Linked DNA regions of Mus musculus. The protein of the gene in region 3 purifies or fractionates together with the protein of the main gene of each other region. This does not show direct contact. Links are inferred from orthologs where the notes say so. Each region holds a gene or a part of one and is shown on either strand. Other genes may lie near its edges.

Region 1 (10,815 bases), on a different chromosome or scaffold from region 3:
AGACTGAGGTAGGACTGCCAAAAATGTGAGGCCGGGCCAGGCAGAGCAAAAGGAAGCTAAGGAGGGGGCAGGGCTGGGGCTCAGTGGTAGACCAGTTGCCTAGCATGTGTGAGTCCCTAGTTCTATTGCCATTGGGTAGTTTTAGAAAGGGAAGGAGGGAGGGAAGCCTAGTGGGTAAGCCATGTGGCACCAAGCCCAGTGTGAGGACAGCCCTTGGAACCCAAGGGGGTGGAGGAGACAGCCAGGTCCCACAGTTTGTCCTCTGACCCTCTACCCTCACCATACACATGTGCCATGCCAACCACAGAAACACATAAAATAAATGTGATCAATATTCATAAAGACTAGATCTGTGTCCGTGGGAGTTTTGACAGTATTCAAACCACTGCCAAAGTGTGTATCACGGGCTGTAGGTGCTTTTATTTTCTTGCCCTTTAAAAAAATGCTGTTGCTAACCAGAAATTTTAATATTCGCTTCTTACCAGACATCTAAGGTTTTTGTTTTTGTGAGACAGGGTTTCTCTGTGTAGCGCTAGGCTGTCCCGAATCTCCCCCTGCCTCCTGAGTACTGGGATTAAAGGCCACCACTGGCTTTTTTGTTTTTGCTTGAGATAGGGTCTCAGGTAACCTGGGCTGGCCTTGAACTGTGTAGCCGTTGACCATGAACTTCTGCCTTTACCTCCCAAGTGCAGAATTACAGGTGTGCACTACCGTACCTGGTTGTATATGGTGCTGAGGATGGAATTCAAGGCTTTCTCGATAATAGTTTTTTAGAAAGTAGCACCCATCTCCTGGGTTAGCTCAGTGATACAGTCTTAGTACGTATACGTTTTAGCTTTGGGATCAATCTCTAGCACACACACACACACACATGTAAATACACATATATGTATATACACACACATATACACACACATACATATATATATATATATACACACACACACACACGTGTGTGTGTCACGATTTGGGTTTTGGCTATTGCTCCAAGTACGGTGGCTCTATGGTTGTGGTAAAACAGGGCTGCCTGAAGGCTGCCACCCAGCACCAGACCAACCTAGCCCTTGGATCTCGCCTTTTAGTACAAGATCTTGCTGCATGGCTGTTGGTACGGACTGTTCGGAGGAAGCCCTGATAACTTTCCAACTGAACTGGATGAGGGCACCCAGGGGGCCCTGACTCAGCCTCTTCTTGGAGAGCAGACACTTCTAACCCGATACTCCCCGGGCTACTGTTCCAGCGACTCCCCACTGGACTCCCCCACCAAGTACCCCACTCTGTACCCACCTGGCAGGATCATCCACCTGGAAGAGGAGGGTGGTTCAGGGAGGTGAGTATGGTGACCCTCGAGTCACGCCCACCCACTGAGGGCGACTCAGATCTGCCCCATGTGGAGCCTCACTAATGGATATTCTCTTCTGTTCGAGGTTTGGCTGCTGTTCTGCTGCCCAGTACAGAGCGAGGTGGGCACACGAAGCAGAATTCAGTAAGATCCTGATAGGCCCAAAGATGCTGATTGACCACATGCCTGACGTCATGATTCGGGCCCTGGACAGAGTGCTTGCCGACAGGACAGCCTGCGTCTCCTGCCCAGGGCAAGGCGGCTCAAGTGTACCGTAGTCAGCTCTACTGGACCCTGACCGGTACAACGGACTGGCAGTTTCAGGAGGTTTTTTTGTTGTTGCTTTTGTTTTTTTCTTAAGACTGATTGACTGTGCGTGGCTTCTGTGAGGCTGGTATGGTGGTATCTGTCTATCAACAGTTACCTGAGGGGTCCCTGCAGAAATGGACACCAAAATGACCATACAATTTATACAACCTTTTCTTTCTTTCTTTCTTTTTTTTTTTTTTTTTGCTTGTTTTGATTTTTCAAGACCGGGTTCCTCTGTGTGGCGCTGGCTGTCCTGGACTCACCCTGTAGACCAGGCTGGCCTCAAAACTCAGATTTGCCTGCCTCTGCCTCTGAGTGTTGGGACTAACGGCATGGGCCACCACTGCCTGGCCTATGGAACCACTTTTAACCATAGTATTAACAGGATCCGGAGTTGGGAACACGCATAGGTGTTGGGACTTGTAGGCCAGCCCATGGCATAAGCCACCTAAGAAGTCTACATCTGAAGACCCTTAGTGGGTCTGCAAGGCCCCTGCTCCTGATGGGCTCCCATCCTGCTGTTTACACGAGTCTGAACTTTAAGACAACAGATGAGCACTTTATACTTGCCTGCGTCTTTCCGGGGTCACTAGGACAGCCTGAGTGTCCTCTGAGCTGGCACTGCAGCCCCTCCCTCATGGATACATGAGCTAGCTGATCACTAACTCTTATGTATGCTTAATTCTCACATTATCAGACCTCTGAGCCAGGTGGTAGGCTCAGGGGAATTTAAATAAATAAATAAAGTAGTTGGTATACCATCAAAAGCCTGCAAGGAAGGTGTGGGATTCCTGAGAGCCAGGAACTTGCTGAGTTCCAGTGTGCCATTTCCCCGTGTCAGTCAGGACACTGGGATTACAAGCATGGACTACTGTACCCAGGGGTGATGAGGTTTCACCTTTCCATTCTAAATCAAGTTGCCTTGTCTCTCTGGTTACTAAGAACTACATACATTACGGAATCCAACAAGCACAGAACACAATTAAAAATAAAAAAAAAATCCAGAAAACAACAAAAAAGTATGGTGGTGGCTTGGGCCTGTTATCTTCACCACTTAGATGTGGGCAGGAGGACCAGACACTGGAGGTCACAACTTTAAAGGATCCAAGCCATCTTTTGCTACACGAGATGTTGTCTCCAAACAAATCTCCAAAGGGGGGCAAGTAAGCCTGAAGGGAAACCCTGTAGGATACTAAGTATACCTGTAGGGGGCGCATTGTTATCCCAGCATTCAGAGCAGGGGCAGACCATTCTCTGCCAGCTCATGCACAGCCTGTTCCAAAGTGAGTTCTAGGCCAGCCAGAATAACCACACAAATGATGGCGGTCAGAAATCTGAGGGGAAATCCAGGACCCTGGATTTAAGGTGAAAGCCCTCAGAGACACAACTGTCATCTCATGTATGCCCTGGAGCTATGATGGGTATAAAGACTTGATGGTCAGGTCAACAAGGCAGCCAGGATGGCTTGGCTAGTGTCGCACGTGTGAGGACTTGGGTTCGAATCTGCTGGAGAGCGGTTAAGAGGCTCCCTCAGTGGACCAAGAGCCACGGCTGACCGTCGTGGTGAAGGTGCACGTCAGGATTTAGACTGGGAAATGGTACAAATTTTAATCCCAGCACGAGGGAGTTTGAGGCCAGCCTGATCTATATCCCACAGAGAAATGTGCGTGCACACACATGTAATTTTTATTTAAAGATTCAAAGTTTAAGAATCACCAATGAGGGCTAATCCTAATGGCCGTCTAACTGGTTGAGATGTGGTCCATGCTAAGCCCCGTGGCTCAGCTTCCCCATCTGCAGCACTCAGCCCTGGCACACCTCCCAGACACACGGCTCAGGCAGACATACCCCACTGTGGGGAGCCCCACACAAGCACCTCACGACGGCTTAACAACGGCTCAAACCAGCCCCACTCCACAAATGTGGCTGTGGGCTCACCTACCCTATTCTCTGAAGGTGGGACTCCATCCCTCCAGTGATCCAGGGTTTAAAAGTAGAGCAAACACGCCAAGAGCTTGTCAAATTCCAAAAACACAAGCATAACCAGTTGTATGATTCAAGGATTTATTAATTCATACATGCAAAACATACTGCTAACTGCATTAGCAAAAGATCAATGTAAAAACACTCCACAATTCTGCAACTGTCAATTGAAAAAAGTTTGTTCTAGTGGTTGAAAGGCCCAACACTGCATTCTTGCCAGTGAGTTAGGTTGTACAGGACAGCGTTAGCACTAGCAGTTGACAGAACCTCACAGACCCCAAGGAACATCTCTAGGCAGAGCCATGACAGGAAGCGTCTGTCCACGTGGGCGAGGTCTAGAGGCAGCATTAGTCACATGACAGTGTTGGTACTGTTTAGAAGGTTCATAGTTTAAGAATATCTAAAATAGTTTAAAAACCGTAAAGCTGCAACACATGATTTGCACACCTAGTTGCTAGGAAACTAAGGAAGCACTAACTAGCTCTGAGTAAAGTAAGGCGAAAACAGGACGCACTTCTACTGAGCTACCAAAAAAAAACAAAAAATCTCTGCGTTATCAGAAAGATCTTATAGTACAGGTCAGACATATTGCTCGTTAAGAAGGGGTTCTAAAGAAAAGCACTTGCTAAGTTAGAACTGTGAGGGTGGCCAGTTTAAATATGGACTCAACGCCCCATCTGGGGAGGGACGGCAGTGGAGGGTGGGGGGCGCGAAGGGATGCTCAAGAGACACTGATAAGATCGGCCATTTGTCACCTACTGTTTGACAGAAATTAACCGTTAAAAAGCTTTACCCGTGACACTTTTATTCAGTTGAATTACTCCATGTACAATGTAGTGTAAAGTAATCTCTACTTCATATTAGTCAAAATACTGTCTGTCTCCTTTGATCATGTCGTGTTTCACACTCCACCCAGCACACCCACAACTAGGAACAGAATACTTCATTAGAGGCAACACAGGAACCAGAGTTCTGTTCAAAGTCTGCAAAAGCTAGTCGGCTGGTCTTTTAGAAAACTCACTATGAAATCAAAGAGCTGAGCTGTCACACTCATCACTGTGACGTACAGTACAAAGTTACGTAATGAACATGGGCTGATAAGTTACAGGTGCGTTACATGGCAACGTGTCATTAAGGAGGCTGTGCTGTGTCACACGGTCTGGGAACTCTGGAAGGGTCTGCACCCCTGGCTCCAGAAGCTGCGGTCTTCTTAGCAACAGAAGTCTCTCAAGAGAGTTTAGTGCTTAGGTGTTCTCAGCACAACGCAACTTAGTTCAGAAGGTATTTTGGCAATTTTTAATCTGAGCAAGAATGGGGGATTTTAAAAATAAGGCTTTAAGAAGGCTTTGTCATTTTAGGGCTGAATTTTAATAGACTGTAAGTTGGAATTCTTACATTTAAAACAGAACCTTAAAATTATTGACTGGTTCATTGGTTCAAAATGGTTTTATGGAAAAATTAATCTGTAACAAAAACTTGGCATCAAATGCGAAGGCTCGCTGATTTTTGAGCAAAGCGTACAAAGGTTCCAGGCAGGACCGAGAACGAGGGGCTCCGACATTTACAACAGCAGGCATTTTCTCTTCCTCTTCTTGACAGGAGGGGGACAGAGAACCGCTCGGATAGCTTCGTCAAACACTGTCTTGAGTCCTCGCTGTGTGAGAGCTGAGCACTCCAGGTATTTGACAGCACCTAGAAAAGACAGCCACAGGCAATGACAGATGTTCCGCAGGACAGCCCCTGAGTCAGCATGGCGTGGCCCAGCAGTCAACTCCCACACCAACAAAGGCCTGGCCTGGCTGGTTGCCCAAAGCAAAGAGACCCCAAGAAGGAGAAACTTCCCTCTCTCAGGTGGACTCCAGCTGCCTGGCACCAGGACTGCAAGGCAGACACAAGAAATGAGGGTTTCATACCGATCTCTTTCGCCATGGCCAGCCCCTGCGGGTAGGTGATGGGAGTCAGCTTCTTCTCCTTCAGCTTCTCAATGGTGTCCTTATCATCCCTAAGATCAAGCTTCGTCCCCACGAGGATGATAGGAGTATTGGGACAGTGGTGTCGCACTTCAGGATACCACTACACGTGAAGAAAGAAACAAGGTGAAGCCCCTCCCCTCTTCTCTCTGCCATCCTTCCTTCCTTCATGCAGCTTATGTAAACACAGTGAGCACCAGCCCTCCAGCCACAGCTGGCCCCAGAGCGTCCCTGCCTTTTCCTGAAGCCTTAACCACACATACAATGGCTCGCCAGGCTCCCAAGACAGGGCAACACAACAGACTACCTGTAAAGGACCAAGGAAGGAAGATGAGGGAATGTACCCCCAATCTATAGGATCACCCTAGAAAACTCACCATCCACTCAGGGACCATTATCCCCAGCATGGTGGGTCCCAATCTCTACACCACCAGCGTCCCTCACCCCTTCTCACTAGATTGGTTCCAGATGCTGGAGCAGAAAGAAATGGTCACCAGACCACTTCTGAAATACTTGTCACTGCAGTGGGGACCGTCCCAATGAAGCTCCAGAGACCCATCCCCCAAAGTCAGAGACTTAAAAATGGCCCACAGAGCTACTAAAGCCAAGCTAAACACCCCAAGCTCCCAGCAGCCAACGGCATTCATTGAACTGTTTATTATTCTTGCTAGGACTGACAGTATGCAGCAATCTTCCCATAAGTCCCACTTACCTTTGCACGGACATTTTCAAATGATGCAGGACTCACAAGGGAAAAGCAAATTAAGAACACGTCCTACAGAAAGGAAACACAGGCAATGTAGAGGGCAGTCTTGGACTGTGGGAGCACTCTGCCTCACGCCGATAGCTAGCGAAGCACTGTCAGAGAGAGGCACTGCGTGCCTACTGCTACCTGCAACTAGGTCCTCGCTGCTCCCACCTACCTCTCCAGTCGGCCAGAGACTCAAAACCATTACCAGGCCTGCCTTTTGAAAAAGGGGACATGGAAGAAGAAACTGCTGGAAGCTGTTTGATGCTAGGGAGGGATCAAATCACATTCCCAGGAGGCCGCTTGCTAATCACGCCCAACTGGAAACCTAATTATCTGCTATCAACACAAATTCTTCTGAAAACCATGGTCTCTCTGAGGCTCATGAATGCAGAGTCGATTTAAACACATCCTCCAACAAGGCACGCTTTTCATTAAGCTCCCCACATGCACCGTAAGCTCAAGGCTCCTGACATCTCGAGCGTCCATCAGCCAGCTTGTCACTGTCCTTGGCACAAAATGGAGTTCAAGAGTTTGCTCCCCAGCCTTCCAGCCAGGGAGGGGACTCAGTGTGCCATCTCCCAGTAGACAAGCACCAACTACTGCACCATCTTCCCAAGCAGAGTCAAGGGCCTCTGGAAAAGCTGCCCCAGTGTATCTGTGGCCCCAAAGAAAGCAAGGACAAGCAGGGCAAGAATCTTACGTCAGGAGAAACTGCCGGCTCAATAGAAAATATCTGAGGTTTCTTCCTGTTATTACACATAAAGTAAAATTCAGATATTTACCTGTATAAAATTATGCCCAAGAGTTTCTAAAATGTTAGGCTTATCAAGACATAGCCCTAGAAAAGGCAACTATGCTATTTGTGAAATGTATACAGTTCCCAAGCTAGCACCTTCAACTATCCAGCTGGTATCTTGTACCTGAAAAGGAAAGAAATGTCCCACACAACAGCTTTTTATAAACAATGGTTTACTTCAATGCTGGCGCATGCACAAGCCTATCAGAGAATCACCAGGGCCTCCCAAGCATCCAAGTTGATTCCACACCCTCTCAAAGCACAGTTGGGTTAGCTCACCAGCGCTGCGCAGCCCCCACAGCCCACCACACAGAACACCAGAGTCAGAGAAGAGGCCCTGGGAGTGGTTAGTCTGGGTGAGCGAGAAAGCACCCACATGAGCACCAGTGGACCCTCCACACCTGCACCTCCAACCGTCCCAGAGAGGGGCTTCCGGACACCCCTCCTTTCACATGGGAGGACGGGAGCAAGCAGCTCATCGGCCACTTTATAACCCACTGGGAGTGAAGTCACAGGCCAGAGGAAGCTCATTTTATCAAGAGCAGCCTCTCCTGAGTGAGTCGGAGGAAACACTCAGGGAGCTGAGGCTCAGCTCTTCCTGGAGACTCAGTGAGATAAGAGAAGAGACAAAGCTGGAGGCTGAGGTCGACTCAAAGTCTTACATACGGCAATCGGCTTGTCTTTGCCCCTGGAGGGTCTATCTTTACCACATGTGTCTCCAACCTAGTAATGCAGGAGAACTTTGCTTGAGTTCGATATAAACTAAGAAATACAAAATCAATATAACCTGTTAGTTTCCACACACGTTTGTCTCAGCCCTCCTGAGGAATCCAAAGCTGTGCATTCATGTAGGTCACCTTGGAAGCTGAGAGCCACACATCATTACTCCATGCAGCTGGAGCTGAGGAGCTACCCACCCCTGCGGTTCAGTAAGGAAGTCACGGGAAGGCTGGGCCTGCCACCACGTCACTCCCGCACTTGACAGAATGTAACACACTCACAGAGCTCAGCGTTCAGAAAGTGGCCTGTTGCCGGCATGCAGTACTGACAAGGTCTTCAGAGAACTCCACCTTCTCAGAGATAAGCCAAGAGAACCTCAGAGTCGGGGGAGACGCCTGCCTGTAGGCACAGCGAAGCTTTCCAGAACAGAGCCTAAGGGATCCAGGCTGGCGGCCTCCTAGCCCCGCTCTGGGAGGGAAGAGTGGCTTCAGACTGGAGTAAGTTCTTGAAATGAACTAAGGTCCCTTGGGGGGGTTGCTAAGGAACTCTGTAGGTGACAACCTTTTCCATTTTCATCATAATACTTTCCTTTTGTTTCTATACTCAGTAAAAATTGACAATTTCCCAATATGAAACCCCAGAAATTCTAATAAAAAACAAGCGCAGTATGATTTTAATTTTACCTCACTCAAGCTTGTATTTACAATCAAAGAGTAACAATCTCCAGACTCCTGGTTTCATCTGTGGGCTATTTCTAAGGGTGTCCTAAGGGCTTGACACAATAGACCCCACCAACAAAACAAAACCATCAATCCAGTGTTTCATGTTGTGACAGTCTTCAGGATGGCTCCAATATTGCTGGAGCACCCTCCAGCCCCTCCACTCCACTCCACAGTCCTTTAGTACCTTCCCGATGGAGCAGAGATGCACAGCTGGACCACAGCGCCACCCTAACTCACGTGTGCATTATGCCATCAGCCTCCTGCTCTCTTCCCTTTTCACCCCCAACTTTGGCCTAAACACAACTGTATGACATTAGTCGGCATCTGATGCTTTCTCCTAGGGTTAACCCCTTGTTCCTGTACCAGGGCAAAGGGGCTGTGCTGTGTCTCTGCTCCTCCCTGTCCCCTCCCTCTCGGTGGCGACCATCTTTCCTGAGGGCCTGACTACTACTTTCCTAGATCACCAGGACCTTTGTGACGCCAGCCTTTAATGAGAGTCTCCAGTAACTTTAGCTCCCACGTCACCAGCCACGTCCCACGTCAACTCCTCAGCAGTCAAAAGTACAGCAAGGGCTGAAGAGCGTTCACTTAGGGACATGCTTGCAGGGCAGGCATGAGGAACCCTGGGGTAAGCCCTGAGTCCCAGCAAGATACTGGGACTTAAAAAGCAAGGTGTGTCTTGAGGGACAACACCTGAAGGTGGTCTCTGTCATACCCAGATGCAAACACACACAGAAGCATATACCAACTACAGCTCGAGTGGTCCCACCTGCCACCTGTCCCCAGTGGGAGGCAGCTTTTACAATGAAAAAGGGCAGGACAAGAGGCGCTGGAGCACTCACCACCAGACACAACACACACACACACACACACACACACACACACACACAGAGTATCTGGACTTGAGGCTCACACGTGGATTTCTCCTTTCCTTTCCTTTCCTTTCCTTTCCTTTCCTTTCCTTTTCTTTCTTTTCTTTTGAGGCAGGGTTTCTCTGTGTAGACCAGGCTGGCCTCGAACTCAGAAATCTGCCTGCCTCTGCCTCCCGAGTGCATGGATTAAAGGCGTGCACCACCACGCCTGACTTCTCGTTTTTTTTGTTTGTTTTTTTTAATATACAGATTCCACACAACAGGGAAAAGGACCAGGGCTTGCACACACAACAGAGAAAAGAAGAATTGTAAAAAGCTGGACAAGTGTTCCCCAGAAAAGCCACCCTGGAAAAAGGCAGGCAGCTGGCCTGATGCTGACAGCTACACTGGAGTGCAGATAGATGTTCCTATAAAGGCTCACAAGCTCTCAGGCCTCCACGGGACTGTGTTGATGAAAAAAAGACTACACGATCATGTCCTAAAGCCAACGTCACTTCATGAGGCAGAGAATACAAGGAAGTGGATTTTCCTGTATAGCAGCTTCAGCCCACTACACCCTACCTCCTTCTAGGCAGGACTCCCTAAAATGCAAGGCTGAGACAGCACTGAGCCAGAGCAAACCCCTTCTGAGTTCCACACACCCACATCGCATAATAAAACTCCAGTGGGTTCCCTCATGGCAAAAAGCAACTCACCCTATTCTGGCTAATTGTAAGTAGTTTTCTAGTGACTTCTGGCTGAAGGGCCAGATATCTAACAGTCATCTTAACAAAGGAAACCCTCTGAAAATCAAAACTGCACCAGGGAGTGGTGACTCAGGCCCAGTACTCAGAAGGTAGAGGGAGGTGACTCTCTGGGTTTGAGGCCACTCTGATCTATAGAGCAAGTTTTAGGATAGCCAGGACTATACAGAGCATAACTCAAAAACCAAACCAACAACAAAGGACAATCACAACTGTGACACCAGGAGCTAGCAGATGAGGAGGGTGCTCTTCCACAGATGGGGCCAGGGCTGTTTCCTGGCGCCACTGGCAATCCACCTGACTGTCCATGCTGGAACCTGGTATCTTAGCAGGAGTCTTGTCTTCCTCCTTTCTCACTCAGTCCTTATACATGGAAACCGTCTGCCTGCTATACCCAGAGAACTTCAGCTTCCCACACCAGCCTGACCTCACCCTCAGTTACAGCTTAGTCAACCTGGGAAGAGTCCACTTCTCTGCTTTCCGCAAGTCACCTTTGCCTTGCTAAGAATGACTCCCTTAGACAGAATGCCTCACCCTCCTCTGTACCCACAGTGTCACAATACATACGGCGTCTTTCATTTCTCAGAAATGATGCCACACCCTTCCA
Region 2 (3,600 bases), on a different chromosome or scaffold from region 3:
GGAAGGAAGGAAGGAAGGAAGGAAGGAAGGAAGAATGAGGTGGTTGGCGAGGTGGGGAGCCTTTTGGAGGAGTTTGGAAGGGGAAAGCATGATTGGGATATATTGTATGAAAACAAATGTTAATAAAAAGATCTGGTGAAATTAGTTTTAACCACATACTCATATCCTAGCCTGATATACTGTCCGATTGATTTATTATATAGGAACTGTAAAACTATTATTTATCGAAATGATAAAATCTATATAAAACAATGAAACTATTTCATTTTTTTTTCATGCTAAATCCCTAATGACTGCTAATGGTCAGTTATCACACAGTTTATATTTAAATATTCTGGTGATTAATCGAAAGGAAGCATTGCTTTCTCCCTTAGATTCTGATATCTTCTATGGTGTTGCCCCTAAGTCCTCGTCTTTTCTAGAGATAGGCTATGCACAGCATCTCCCTGCCCTCTCCAGGTGCTCCAGCACAGAATTCTGAATTCGGAGAAGACAGAAGTTTCTCCTGAACTTTCCAACTGTCATTTCTCTCCTGCCTGCTAGGTTGGGAGTTAACTGTATTTGATTTCTGTTTTAAAAATTAGTGGAGTACGTTGCATGACTCCAACAATAATACAATAACCACAGATCACAAATTCAGGGTAGAACATGTTGCTTCATGCCAGGGTATACCACACAAGGAAGTCTTTGGCTTCATTGAAGAAAATCTTGCAGTTTAGACTAGAGTAAATTCGTAGGTGGTGGAGGAGAAGGAAATGGCCTGTTATTTTTGCCATGCTTCCCGGGAGATATATACAGCAGGTTCTTAGAGGACTTATTTTAAAGCAGCCCACCAAAGTTTCCCCTTTGGTGGAAAATCTCAAATAAGGTGTCCAAAATGAAACCTTAAAAAGGGAACAGGAGCTCTCTGTGCTCCAGAGGTGGCGCTGCGAGGGTGACGGAGTTAATTAGTGCCTGCAAAACGCGGTTTCTGAGCTCATCAGAGAAGTCATGCTCATCCCACACTATTTATAACAGAGATGAAGTGTGCATACTGTGTGACATTTCCCTCTTTTTAAGTAGGGGACTCCAAAAAAGTCGTGGGCACCCAGTCCTAGGCACTGTGCAGGGGGGCGGGCAGCAGTGCGGGGGCGGGCAGCAAACGCGCCAACAAACGCGTGTCCGCGCGCAGGTGCCGGGGGCGGCGGCGGCAACTCCGCATCGGCTGCCCAGAGTTCGCGGCAGCTCGCGGGATGCTCCTAGATGCAAGATGTGTCTCTGGCCAGCAGGAGGAAGGAAGAGGAAGTGAGAGCAGCGGCAGCCGGCGGCAGCGGCCAGCGACCCGAGTCTAAGTGCGTGCGTTCGGGCAGCGGCAGCGGGCGAGGATGGGCACGAGATAGAGGCAGAGCCACCGCCGTCCGCGCCTCCGAGAGCGGCGACAGAGCCTCGGGCACCGGTCTACGTCTCCTGCCCCGGCGCTCCGGCCTCTGGGAACCCTCGTTGCGGCGTCCTGAGACCCCGGGCAGGTTTGTAAAGTTTGCTGGGCTGGCGCGGCGCCCGACTCGCTGACCTCGGCGGCCCGGGCGGGGGCCAGGGCAAGACGAGGGCGCCGCGGAGGCACTTTTGTTTCCTCCCGGGGCCCCGCGGCGCGGGCGGGTGGGGGCTGCGGGCGCCCTGCAGTTGGGAGGTCTGGGCAAAGGGGCGTCCCGAGTGACTAGAGGTACGGGGTGGGGAAAAGCGGACACCGGGGGCAGCGCCGGGATGGGGCTCAGTGCAAGGACCCGTGGAAACGGCCGGGGCAGAGTCGGCTGGAGGGGGCGCGGGCGGGCTGCGCCACCGGCGTAGGGGTGCTGGGACCTGGCAGAGTGCTCCTGGGACCTTGCGGCCAGCAGTCGTGGGGCTGGAGAGTCAGGAAGCGGCTCCGAGTTTACCAGCGAGGACACCGGGGCTCTCGTGTGTCGCAGACGGGAGGGGATCCCCGGAGAGCGCGCTCCCGAGATGGGGCGGGATGAGCTGCGGGGACCCCTGAAGGCGTTCGCTAAGGAAGACCCGCCTCCCGGGGCCGTGCGGGGCTTCCCTCTGGGCGGCTGGGTCTTCGATAGAGAGAGGCTAGCGTGGGAGGGGGCGTACCGCGCGTCTTCCCGGGAGAGCGGCGGGCATGGGGCGCCAGGGAGGGAGCGAGCGAGCTGCGCGCCGCGGTAGCCCCGCGGCTTAGAGGAAGAGGAAACCCAGAACTCAGCCCGCCGCGGTGCGCTTGTGTGGGGTTGGGAAGTCTGTGCTGTGCTGAGGGCGCGCGCCAGGCTTATATTTGTGTGTGTGTGTGTGTGTGTGTGTGTGTGTGTGTGTGTGTGCTGGCGCGCGTCATTGCGGTGGGGGCGCTCTCCTATTGACCCCTCGGGGCTTGGGGCTCTCGTCCACTGACTCTTCTGCCTGGGGCCCTTTGAACTAGGCAGCTGGGGCAAGGGTTGTTGGACTTGGATTGACCCGACGCTGCAGAGTTTGGCCTCAAGCAGGGACAGCTCCGAGGGCCTCTGGACAGCTCCCGAGGCGCTTTGAGCTCAAGGAAATGCACCCAGGGACTGTGGACCTCCTGCCTCTGGCCAGTAAGGACAACCTAAGATACAGAAAGAAAATTGTGTCTTGAGGGAAACCAGGGAAGAATTTCAGATTTTTTAAAAATTTTATGTACAAAATAAAAATAACTATCGTTTACATACTAAAAATCTTCGAGAGCAACTTGAGACTGGAAAATCCAGTTTACTTGCAATAATCGTTAGATTGGGAAAGCAGGCAGTAAATCCGGTCCACTAAAGGCTTCTGGTTATGGTCTTCACGTGTCTCACCTCTTCAGTAGCGGCCAAGGTCATTTCAAGGATTACTGGTTTCACTCTCTCAATTTGCAGGAGTGGGGATCGAACCTGGTCACTTGAAGGCTCGTAACACAGATTCCATACTTTTATTTTCTTGCCTGCCCTCACTCCCTCCTTCTTCCTTTCTCTCCCTCCCTTGCCCTCCCCTCTTTCTTCTTAGCTGACCCTTTGATCTTCTACTTGTCACTATGCTCCATTTGCTATCCTTCAGCATTGTAGTTAAGCGTGTACATGGCCTTTCTGACTGTATTTGCTACTTGATTCTTGTTAAGTTAGATGGTGTTATGATAAACTGACAGAATGACCTCAATTGTGGGGCCTCATGGTGAGGAAGTAGGGTAAGCTGGAGAAAGTTGGGGAACAGGAAGCTTGGGGACACCATAGTCTGTGGAAACTCAGTGCCTGAACAGTCACTGGGCCAGAGATTAGGTGGTCACATGGTGGATGACCATACCCACCACAGCAATAGGCTCTTGTTAACTGCGGCAATTTTGACTTCCTTACATTTTTTTTCATGTTTACTGCTTTGTCACCCCAGGACCTTTGCACATGCTGTTCTTCTGCCCGAGGTGCTCTCCTCACATGTTCAGATGACTCATCCTTTGCCTCCACTAGTTCTCAGTTTAAAAGGCCTTGGTGGCCTGGGTCTTCTTAGGTTACCAGTCTCCCTCTCAGTATTTCTTTACTAGTTGGCATTATTTATTCATTTATTCATCTGCTTATCTTATCGTCGTCTCTCCCATTAGGATGG
Region 3 (11,308 bases):
TGTTGAGAAGCTGAACATTGTAGACAACTTTAGTCTTCTTGATGAGCTACATCAACAAGTGCAAACCTGTGGGGGTTCTTGTACCACAAACCCAATACACAAAAGGTGAGACGGGTCAGTTTGGGATCTTATCTTGCAGTTTACTGCAAGTTGATGTAGAAGCAAAAAGAGTATCCATGGATAGACATTTTCTGCCGCTGTATGTTGTGAGGGTCACAGTGTACCAGGGAAGGCTGGTACAAGATGGCTTATCTGTCAGCTGGCAGCATGGTCTTGGGACCCAGGCATCTCCAGGTGAGCAATGGGGCAGAACTGTCATGGGAAGAGAGTACAACAGTCAGTGCTTCCAGGCATAGCCAATATTTGACATGGTGACATGCCAGTCTTTGCTAACTATGAAGCTCAGGCTCCACGATGGAGCAATGAAGTTTGAAGAGGGAATCTCCTAATGTTTTAGGTGAGTTTATAGTTCTGTGTTGGAAACTATCCTCAGCTATCTGGCTGCCTTCATGCATTGGTCATGCACAGGATGCTGCTTCGAGTTCCAGGCCAGACTGAGGCTCAAGGTTCTGTTCTTGCTGTGTTCAATGCTGAGGACGTGGCTTACTTCTTGTTCTTTCAGGGTCTCATAGGAACCAAATCCTATACAATGTGCTCTGTTTGATGTGTGAACCTGCTCTTCTTTGACAGTCACTGGATCCCAGGAAGCAGAGCATATTCTACTTTAGTTTGAAGAACGATCCATTTGACATAATCTCCACTGTGCTGTTTTTTGTTTTTGTTTGTTTCTTTTTGTTTTTTAAATCAGAGCCCTTACATTTTAACTTTCTCTCCTATGTAGCAAGATAATAGAGAGATGTTTCGAAGTGTGCGACACATGATCTATGACCTTATTGAATGGCGGTCGCAGATCCTTTCTGGAACTCTGCCCCAGGATGAGCTCAAAGAGCTGAAGAAGAAGGTCACAGCCAAAATTGATTATGGAAACAGGTTTGTTTGTGCAAATGGTGATTTCATGCTTAAATTTTCCACAGTAATAGCACAACCCTAGGCCTGGAGGATGGTTCAATTACATTTTATCATAAAACCAAACTTCTAATATCAAAATAATGAAGTGGCTTACATTCTAATCTGGTTTATCCTGTCACCCTTGAAACCTGTAGTCTTTGCTGTGTAAGTGGGGGAGTTGTGAAGCTGGGTTGGGGTAGCCCCTCATTTTTGCTGTTTTGTCCCACCCCTGTTATGATATTCTACTTATAATTTTACTTTCTACTCATAGCATTTGACTCTAGATTATTTCCTGTAGTCCCTTGGTCTGTCAGACTAGACGTTAGAAGTCACCATGAAACTTGTCCCTAGAGTTGACATGCTTGATCTAACAGACAGAGGCACAATCCTCTTAACTTACAATTGAGATGAACTATACGTTGCCTTTTTGAGATGTTTCCATTTATGGGAGACATCCACCCTGGTTTAGTTGAGTGTCTTGAAAGATGGCTCACTCCTGAAAACAGCATGCTCTAATATTAGCTGCTGGGAATGTGACTGTCTTGGTTCTATCTCTGCTATATCAGTAGTTAGGATGAAGTTATGGCCTTTCCCATCTGGTACCCATTTGCTTATTCACATGTTACACTGCAAGAAGCCTTAAAGATGACCTGGTCCTGCATTTTCCTCAGGCCCTATAACCTCAGAAACACCTGGGCAGGTTTCACTATACTCAATCCGGGGACCTGCCCCTTGGGTTCTGAGTTCTGCTGTCTGGTCTAGGTTAAGAGCTCAGTCAGACTGCTGTTTGGGTGGTGGAAAACTTAAGGTGTAGTCTGCACCCTTCCCCATTTTTACACCTGAGGATGTGGAGGTGAGAACAGGGGCTGCCTCCTGCCCATCAGCTCAGAATCTTAGACAAGCCATAGGGCCTTTGTGAATAACTGAATTATTGCATAATTTTGTTTTCTGACAATTCCCCTTTTAATGTATGAAAGTTTCCTAATATCACATTAGGTGTGACTTTTATTTTTACCTCCAAGGCCAGAGACTCCAGATATAGAGTATTAGACACAGCTTTCATGAAACCCATTACAAGACTACCTGCTTTCAAAAGCTACTGACCCAGGCCCACACTCTGATTTCCTGAGGTGGCATCCATCCCCTGAGACTAGTCTTTAATCTTGTTGAGGTGAGACTAACACCTGCACAGAACCAGCTATGTATTGGTTGCAGAGACCAAATGTAGACTGGTTGCTGTGACTGACAGGCTGCATCATATGGTGGCGGCATTGGGCTAAAATGTGAGGAGCAAAGGCATTTATTTATTGATTGATTAATTGATTGATTGATTGTATGCCTCCAAGGCCAGAGATTCCAGATATAGGGCATTAGATACTGATTCAATGAAGCCTGTTTCAAGACTGTGTGTTTACAAAAGCAAACCTTTGGAACTCTGATTTCATTTTGTATTGGAGAAGCCTGTTTTCAAAGTTAGGTTCAGAGACCACCTGCTTAATCTGGCTGCAGGAAACAGCCTAAGTACGTTACGCCATGGAACAATCCTGTTAAGACAGAAAGTGTTTCCAAATGTAATTTACTGCTTTGATAGGAAATACAACCTTATTAAGACAAGTTCACCTGAGGACTGCAGGCCAGGATTCTTCTAAAGCCCCATGCTCTCTGCTTATCCTCCCCCTCCCCCCTTCAGAGAGTGACATAATAATAAATAATAATAATAATAATAATAATAATAATAATAATAAAGAAAAGCATAGAGTGTTTGGTTTTGGGATGGTCTCGTCTCTCAGGGAGCAGTTTGTTGCTCTCATCATTATCACATACGTATTCTTGCTTTTACCTTTTACCTGAGTCGGGTGGGGTTGTGGAGTGTCTAGGGAACTGTGGGAAATATGGTAAAGGTCACGGACTGTTTCTTTACAAAGATGGCTGTGTAAAACACAGAGACAAACATGCATACACCTTTACTCGGATTCACCAGACAGGTCCACAACCATACCTATCCATAGAAACCTGCTTGTACATACACATACACACATAGATACAGACAGACACACACACACGCACACACTCTGATTTCACAGGGAGGTGGCCATCCCCTTCTTTAGACCCTTTGCCATCTCTTGGGACTAGTCTCTAACCTTGTTATGGTGAAGCCAACACTCCACAACAGAACCAACTGTGTATTGGTTGCAGAGACCCATGTAGACTGGTTGCTGTGACTGACAGGCTACCTCATATGGTGATGATGTTGTGGTGAGAATATTGCCACCCCATCTTCTTTCTATCTTTTATCCGAACTACATAACTGACCTCACTGAGCTTCGGTTTTCTGTTTTGTGAAGTGGGTCTGACCAGATTTTCTATCTGGACTGAGGTGACAATGACATCACATGATACTCATGGTGGGCTGGCAAAGGGCCTGATATATATCTTCCTCAAGGTGGCCTCACCAGGTATAGCTTGTCAGGCCTTTAGCCTGGGCCTCCAGGAGCTCACCCACAGCACCTACAATTCATTGACCACGCCCACATCAGAGCTGACCCCACCCATACATCACTGACATCATTCATAAAATGCTGACCCATGGTCTTGGTCTTGAGTCTTAGAGCAGGTTCAGGGTTGGGATGAGTTGGTGAGATTTGAGAGGCTTTGTCCTGTTAGTGAAAGTTGTTACATAGACCTCGATCCTTCAGAGGCTTTCTGCCATCATGTACCCATGGGTCGTATACATGTGAGGGTGCAGAATGGGCTCTAATGACCCGCATCTTCCACAGTTGTTAGTCATGCATACTTCACTTGGACTTTGAAGGTCTATTGGAAGGTGAAGGCTTTATTGAAATATAGGTAACACTGAGTCATTTTCTTTCTCCCAGTGTGACATATTTTGAATTACAGAAAGCCATGCCACAGAATGGCATTCTCTGATATCTGTGGATGGGTCCCAGTTTCTGAGGCATTTCATCTGCTCTGTGGCTGGGCCTGACACTGTGCTAGGGGACCCCCTCTCTTGGTTCATGCTCTCCATGCTCTGGATTCTTGGTATTCTAGAATTCTTGATTTGGACCTGGTGGTGAGGGATGAAGATGGGAACATTTTGGACCCGGAACTAACTAGCACCATCAGTCTCTTCCGAGCACACGAAGTTGCTTCTAAACAAGTGGAGGAGAGACTGCAAGAGGAGAAAGTAGGTTCCATTCCTTAATGTGCACTTTGCCACTTTGCACAGCAGGTGGAAATGGGGCAGGGGGTGGGGTGTGTGGGGGTTCAGGGAGGGGGCACCCCCTCCTTGTATTTCTCACCAACCATGTTGAATATCAGAAAATGTTAAGGAAGTCCAGAATTGACACTAAAAAGAACATTCAAAAAGCAAGTGTCCAGCGTGTTTCAGACAAGGAGGAGTGGGGTAAAGTCAACATAACCTACTAATTCAGCAAGTATTGGCCAGGCGTCTGCCATGTTCCAGGGACTGGGAACATAATGCAGAGTGAGACACAGAGTTCTTGGGGGCATCAATCATTCAGAACCCCAAATTAAAGCTAGCTACCAGTCCAGCAACCGTCATTCCAGTTGTTGATAGACACTCGGAAGGCCCATGCTCTTGCAAACACTAGTCATTAGCTGTGGCTGGATAGGCAGTGTGTTGTCTGAGAGCATGCAGTGGGGACACAGAGTGACTGTATGAGTGGCATGAGATGTGACAGTTGGCAGTGTCTTTTCACTATTCTACAGGGGAAATAAAAGAGCCTTGGTTATAGTCCAGGTTGCTCACATTGACTTTCTACCTTTCTGTTCAGTCTCAAAAGCAGAACATGGATATCAACAGACAAGCCAAGTTTGCAGCCACCCCATCGCTGGCCTTGTTTGTTAACCTCAAAAATGTGGTTTGTAAAATAGGAGAAGATGCTGAAGTTCTCATGTCTCTTTATGACCCCATGGAGTCCAAATTCATCAGGTAGGTGACTTCCCCATTGCGGGTATTTTATCAATTGCTTTTCTCATTGCTGTGATCAAAATACCTGACTAGAAGAATCTGCACTGGGGAGGGTTTATTCTGACTTACAGTCGGAAGATGAGACCCAACATGGTGAGGTCCTGCTTGTGGGAGCTGCTCTCAGCTGAAGGAAATGGGCTGGTTAGTTTGTCAACTTGAACCAAGCTGGAGTCATCTGGGAAGAAGGATCTTTAATTGAGAAACATCCCTCTACCATAATCGTACTATAGGCAAGTCTGTGGGAGCATTTTCTTGATTAATGACTGCTATGGTAGGGTCCAGCCTACTGTGGAAAGATGACCCTGGGTTACTTAAAAAACAAACTGGGCAAGCCAAGAAGAACGAGCTAATAAGCGATGTTCCTCCATGGCCTCTGCGTCAGGGCCTGCCTCTGAGTTCCAGCCCTGACTTCTCTTCAGGCAGGACTGTAGGCAGTACAGGGAGGTGAACACGTTGTTCCCCATGGCTCTTCTGGCCACAAGCCTCACCTTTACTTTTTTGCAAGCGTTTTGTCTAGGAATGCCATCTGTGGCTTTCAACTTTTTGCTGTCTCTCTGAGCTGTTTGGCTAGTTGTGTGTGCCAAGTATTTTCTCTTGTCATACGAAGAGTCATAATAAACATCTGTTGAACAAAACCGTTGGAAACCCATCAGTCTTTAATATAACTTTATCTTTATCCTGATTTAAAAAAAAAATGTGATTAGACTGTGTGAAGTGTGTGCATATCTATATATCAAACTCTCCTGTATTTTCACTTGAAGTATCAAAATTTGAAAATGTAGTGTTTGCAGGAAACAGAGCACGTAGGTGATTTTCACTCTCATTTCTGATAAGTGCTTTCTTTCTTTTTGATGGAGGTACAATTTGTATTTTACGGCTTGCTCGGCTTTTTCCGAAGGCTCTGAATTAAATATACATTGTTCCCAATTCAATACTCGGCTCTGTATTGTTGTCATTCTAAACATTCAGAGAGGCTTTTCACATTATAAATATTGAAATGTCATTTGCGAATACTTGTGTTACACGGGTTAACCCATGGTGTAGAAAGGGAAATGGTTGGTCATACCCTACCTGCCCCGCCAAGAGTTTATCTGTGGCCTAGCTCAGGCTCTGTAAGCTCAGGGGTCAGATGCATAGTGGATCTTCATATTGTTAATTATGAAGTCTTATGGGATACATTGAGTACCCGTCTATGTTTGGGAGTTTAATTTGATCCTGTTTTTTTTTTTTTTTTTCTTTTTTCTTTTTTCTTTTCTTTTTTTTTTTTTTTTTCTTTTTCAAGTGAGAACTATCTGGTCCGCTGGTCAAGTTCAGGATTACCAAAAGATATTGATCGGTTACATAACTTGCGAGCTGTGTTTACGGTGAGTGCACCCATGGCTGTACATGTTGAGTGTCATTGAGTCCTGCTCTGATGGCTGTTTTGGGGACTTCTTAGCACTGAATGATTCCTATGGGGTGGTGGTGGTGCCACCTGGGACACTGGCTAATCCCGGAATCCCTGAGCCCATTGTGAAAATTTCTAAGCTTGCTCTTGACTTAGTACGGCTAGGAGAGAGATTCCTTCCTGTCGCTTGAGCTAGTGTCCAGGTCGCTTAGCTCAGTGTCTGCTGTTACTTTATTCCTTCCTGTCACGTAAGTAACTTTAAAATACCCTAAGCTGGTCTGAGAACAGACTCTTAGTCCATTTTTATCCTTTTCAATTGGACTTGTGTTGAATCATAGTTCTCCACAATGATGTATGAAAATTCATATTTTTAGGATCTGGGGAGCAAAGACTTGAAAAGGGAGAAAATTAGTTTCGTCTGCCAGATTGTCCGTGTCGGTCGCATGGAGCTGAGGGACAGCAACACGAGGAAGCTGACTTCGGGGCTGCGGCGACCTTTCGGCGTGGCTGGTAAATACTCCCATCCCTGTTTTTCCTTGCTAGTTTCAGACCATTCACTTTGAGAAAAGATAGTGGGCCATTTTGATTTATGCCTTTAACTGCTTGGGGGGAAAACAATGTCTTAGTTCTTTTTCGTACAGTTTGGAGTCCACCTGCTGTGTCTAGGATGCTTCAGGTCCATCTGGTTTGAAAGCAGATCCCAGGTTTTACTGAGAGAGACAGTGAGTCACTTTCCCACACTGTGGAGAAGCCAGCACTCGGGAGGCTTGCCGAGTGGTGGACAGGCACAGCCTGGCTCTAAGATGAGGCGCTAAATGAGGGCACAATACAGCTAGCCATGAGCTTGCTGATGTCCACATCTCTACTTGGTGGTGGTGGCTGTACAAGAAAGTAAGATTCTGGTTATTTGTGTCAAGGAACAATAAGTGTCCCCACTAGAGATGACATCTTTCAATGTCAGGCATGTTCTTCATAATGCTGGGAAGCAGTTTTCTTTCTTATAGTTGCAGGGCAATTCTTTCACCAGACTTCTCTGACACTTTATCTCCCCGATCTTCAAGCATCACATTGTTCTAGTTCTATCTTGTTGCTGTCATAAAACACTATGATCAAGAACAACTTAGAGAGGAGAGAGTTTATTTGGCTCACACTTCCAGGTCACAATTCATCCTTGTGGGGAATCAAGGCAGGAACTCATGACAGGAGCTGTAGAGGACTTGCTTGCTGTCTCACCCTCTTGCTTGTTCACGGCTATGCTCAGCTACCTTCCTTCTATGAGTCAGGACCACCTGCCTAGGGAATGGTAACACCCAGAGTGGGCTGGGCTCTTCTACTTCTATTATGAATCAAGACACCCACATAGACATATCCTCAGAGCAACCCGATAAAGAAGACTCTCAACTGAAGCACCATTTTCAGTTGATACTAGGCTGTTTCAAGCTGACAGTGTAGTATATGAGGAGAATTTTGACTCTTGATACCTAGCTGTTATTTCTTGTATGATCAGTGATCAGTGACAGTTTTTTTTTCTTGGCTACCAGAAAGTCAGCACTTAATTTTTACTCAATTAAATAGACTGTTATTTTCAGACAAATTATAGGCTTTGGAAGAATTAGACTGAAAATAAACAGTTCCCATACATTTTACCCCGCGCCAGCTTCCTCCTCATCTGTAGCAGCAGTGAATGTTGCCTTTATGACAGGCCTTCAACGAAAACTGTGACTTCTCTAGGAGAAGTCCATGGTTTATAGGAACATTTGCCGTTGGCATTGTGTATTCTGTCAGGGTGTGTGTGTGTGTGTGTGTGTCTGTGTGTGTCTGTGTGTGTGTGTGTGAATATGGAAGTCAGAGGTCCAAGGTAGGGGTCTTCCTCAATCACTTGTTTGTCTGACACCTTTTTGAGATAAAGTCTCCCACTGAACCTGGCTCTCATTGATCTATCAATTGAGCCCCAGGGGTCTTCTTGCCTTCCTGTTCACCCCAGAGCCCTGTTACAGTCACACACCACCATTCCAGACTTGTCCTTGGGCGCTGAGGTCACAGTCAGGTCCTCATGCTTGTGTCAGGCAACTTTGCCTATTGAGTCATCCTCCTGGCCTCGTTCTGTGGGTTTTGACAAATTTATAATAATGGTTTGTGTCCCTTTCACAGTCACAAACTTGGAGACTTAGGCTGTTGCACCGTTAGGCTGTTGTACTGTTAGGCTCTCCAGTGGGCTGTCCCTGTGTCATTATTATCCATGGTGAGGTGAGATGTTGAGGGTTGGTTTGGTCTGTCAGGTACCCTGGGTAAGCTTGGCATTTCCACCCCCGAGAGTTGAGCACACAGTGTAACTTACTCCTGTTTCCCCAAACCTCTCACATCCTTAGCATGTCCAGCTGAGATACTCAGGATGCTTCAGTGGATTAGAACTTTCCTTTGCTTGCTCCCACCTGCATGGCAGTTTTAGGCAAATACTATTTTTTTTTTCTTTTTCCTTTTTTATCTTGGGTGTTTTATTCTTTTCTGAAGCCATCAGAGAGATCTGTGACATGATAATGTAAGTTTCTTCTTCAGGCCTGGGGACTGCAGGTTCTCTGGGTATTAGATCGTTGCAGAGATCCTGCTGATACGTTCTTTGTGACAGCATTGTTAGGTTTGTGAAAGCAAAGATGAGATCTAGCCGGAGGCGGACAGTCTCTCCCTCTGTAGATTAAAATGGGGATTTTGCCCAGCTTTTCCTGGTTTGGTTGTGATGAAGTTCTGGGAAGTCCTATGTGATGAAGTGTGGGCAGATTGGTGGTCATGGTACCTGCTGATGCTGTGGTACTCTTTTTGTGCCCGTATCATTCTTTTTTCTTTGGTTAGTGGTGTATGGTGTTAACTGACATCTCAGGAGTCATGTTACACGTCAGATTAGGGACAACAGATCTGATAGTTCTCTGACCTTGGAGGTGCCATGTGTGAAGTGAGAGGACATTTGGGCCACTGTCTATCCCTTGCACTTAGATCTCTGGCTGTGAGGACATTGTTGTCCCTCTCCGGCTAAATCTCATCTTTGGTCACTCTGATGTTCACTTGAATCCTTGGTTACCCATTTGGATTGACCTTTGTTCCTTTTGTCTCCTGTCTCCTCTCCCTGGTACTCTGCAGGCTTAGTACTGCTGGATACCAATCACCAGGAGAGAAACTCTAGTCTCTCTGGTCTGTTGCTGCCTGAATTCTTGAGAGATGAGCCTCTTTCTTCCTGCTGTGTGATTGGCTGGTGAGACCCTGTATGCTACAGTGCTGCCCAGTTCCCACATGAGTTGCTGCAGAGGCCCTGGGAGGCCTCTGGTCTTAGGTAGTTGGACCATGGGAGGTCCATTATCATGGCCTCAGAGAGAGAGAGAGATCTCTGCTGCTTTCACAGAAATTCCCCACTGACTCAGGCCTAGTGCAGGCTCCTCCATACTGCCTCCTGGCACCACACTCTGGCCTCTGCAGTCGCCTGAGGACCAGCTTTCTGACTTGATAGCTGGAGTATCTACTTATATTTCTTTTTACTTTCTGCCCCGAGACTGAGGATGAATATTTTATCTTGTGCTTTTATAGTGTAGACTTTTTTCTTTAATTAATTAATTATTCATTCACTTTACATCCCAGTCACAGCCCTCTCCCTTCCTTCTTTCTTCTCAGTCCCACCCTCACACATCCCTCCCCTGGTTATCCCCTTACCTGCTCCTTCCAGAAGGGACCCCCCCCCCCCACTCCTGCCTTGGGTACTACCCCCTTCCTGGGATATCAAGTCATAGCAGGAATTAGCACATTTTCTCCCACTGAGCCCTGACCAGGCAGTCCAGCTAGGGGAAGGGGATGCAGTGGCAGGCCACAGAGTCTGATCTGAGACAGCCCCCATCCTAATTTTTAGTAGACCCTCATGAAGACCAAGCTGCACATCTGTTACAAATGTGTAAGGGGCCTAGGTCCAGCCCCTGCATGATTTTGGTGGGTAGTTTAGTCTCTATGAGCCTCTTACATTTTTTATTGGCATATGGCAGTGCTCCGACCTTCCCCGGTCCCCTTCCTCATGCGTTGGTATTGAGCATACTCTGGCCACGTTCTCCCTTCCTGGCCCAGACTTGGGATGCCCATAGAGCACCTCCCAGCCACAGGTTCCCATTCCTGTTAGGCAGCCCCCTCCTCATACTTGAGAAGGAAGACCGACTTTTTGGTAGTGGGATTCTGCCCATTCGCATGCAGTGCCTATGTCCACATGCAAAGATTTAATTTTGAGGCGTTTTCCAGAACAATCTCTGCCCGTCTGTGTCAACAGAGCTAAAATTTTAAAATGAGAAAGGCATTCATGCACCTTTAAGCCTACAGGTTTTAGTCTTTTATTGAAAATAATATGTCATGATCCCTTCTGTTAGAACATTTGATAATGTGAAAGTGATTGGCAGTGGTGGGAAAATCATGGACACTTTATGAAAAAAGAAAGATAATTAAATAAATCATCCATAATTTGACAGAGCCAGGGTAGCACATCAACTTTATTTTTGGTGTGCCTTTTTTCTAACTTCTCTCTGCTTTTATGGGAATTACCTGGCCAGGGAAGTTCATCCTAGGTGGTGCCATTACTCACGGTGCAGGCCGGGTTCAGTGTTCAGTTTGACAGAAATACATAAGACCAAAGCAGCAAAGCACTAATCAGTGTGAGGCTGTTTTGTTTGGTCCCTGGCTTTCTTCTTTTACCAGCTTCACTATTTGTAGGGTGGTAGTGGTGTGCTCATATTTTGTATGTGTGCTCTTTACATACTAAGATACTTAGCATCACATTGTGGATACTTCAGTTTGCAAGGTATTGTTCAGGAGTTAGGGCTTTGGGGTCTACAGTCTATAGGTACTGTGCACTCAGATTAGCAGTCCTTTACACTGGGGCTCAGGGTGTGGTGGGTGCT

Evidence for each region.
Region 1: the proteins of Dock1 (region 3) and Rac1 purify together in Homo sapiens (pull-down; 6 studies listed by BioGRID and IntAct, with this or other methods). This does not show direct contact. The link is inferred for Mus musculus from reciprocal best matches to the Homo sapiens genes DOCK1 and RAC1.
Region 2: the proteins of Dock1 (region 3) and Elmo1 purify together in Homo sapiens (affinity purification with western blotting; 12 studies listed by BioGRID and IntAct, counting the BioPlex papers as one, with this or other methods). This does not show direct contact. The link is inferred for Mus musculus from reciprocal best matches to the Homo sapiens genes DOCK1 and ELMO1.

Annotation. Positions count from the first base shown.
Region 1 is NC_000071.6:143,501,780-143,512,594, forward strand, and holds the end of Rac1 (ras-related C3 botulinum toxin substrate 1), read right to left. Parts: intron 7,875-10,815; coding exon of another isoform or gene 7,818-7,874; intron 6,380-7,817; coding exon 6,317-6,379; intron 5,708-6,316; coding exon 5,548-5,707; intron 5,327-5,547; coding exon 5,196-5,326; 3' UTR 3,702-5,195; downstream 1-3,701. Other genes in the region: Daglb (diacylglycerol lipase-beta), read left to right, coding at 1,083-1,330, 1,428-1,620. UniProt on the Homo sapiens protein: Plasma membrane-associated small GTPase which cycles between active GTP-bound and inactive GDP-bound states.
Region 2 is NC_000079.6:20,089,267-20,092,866, forward strand, and holds the start of Elmo1 (engulfment and cell motility protein 1), read left to right. Parts: upstream 1-1,240; 5' UTR 1,241-1,505; intron 1,506-3,600. UniProt on the Homo sapiens protein: Involved in cytoskeletal rearrangements required for phagocytosis of apoptotic cells and cell motility. Acts in association with DOCK1 and CRK. Was initially proposed to be required in complex with DOCK1 to activate Rac Rho small GTPases.
Region 3 is NC_000073.6:134,740,145-134,751,452, forward strand, and holds part of Dock1 (dedicator of cytokinesis protein 1), read left to right. Parts: intron 1-841; coding exon 842-990; intron 991-4,059; coding exon 4,060-4,195; intron 4,196-4,805; coding exon 4,806-4,963; intron 4,964-6,284; coding exon 6,285-6,366; intron 6,367-6,763; coding exon 6,764-6,899; intron 6,900-11,308. UniProt on the Homo sapiens protein: Involved in cytoskeletal rearrangements required for phagocytosis of apoptotic cells and cell motility. Along with DOCK1, mediates CRK/CRKL regulation of epithelial and endothelial cell spreading and migration on type IV collagen.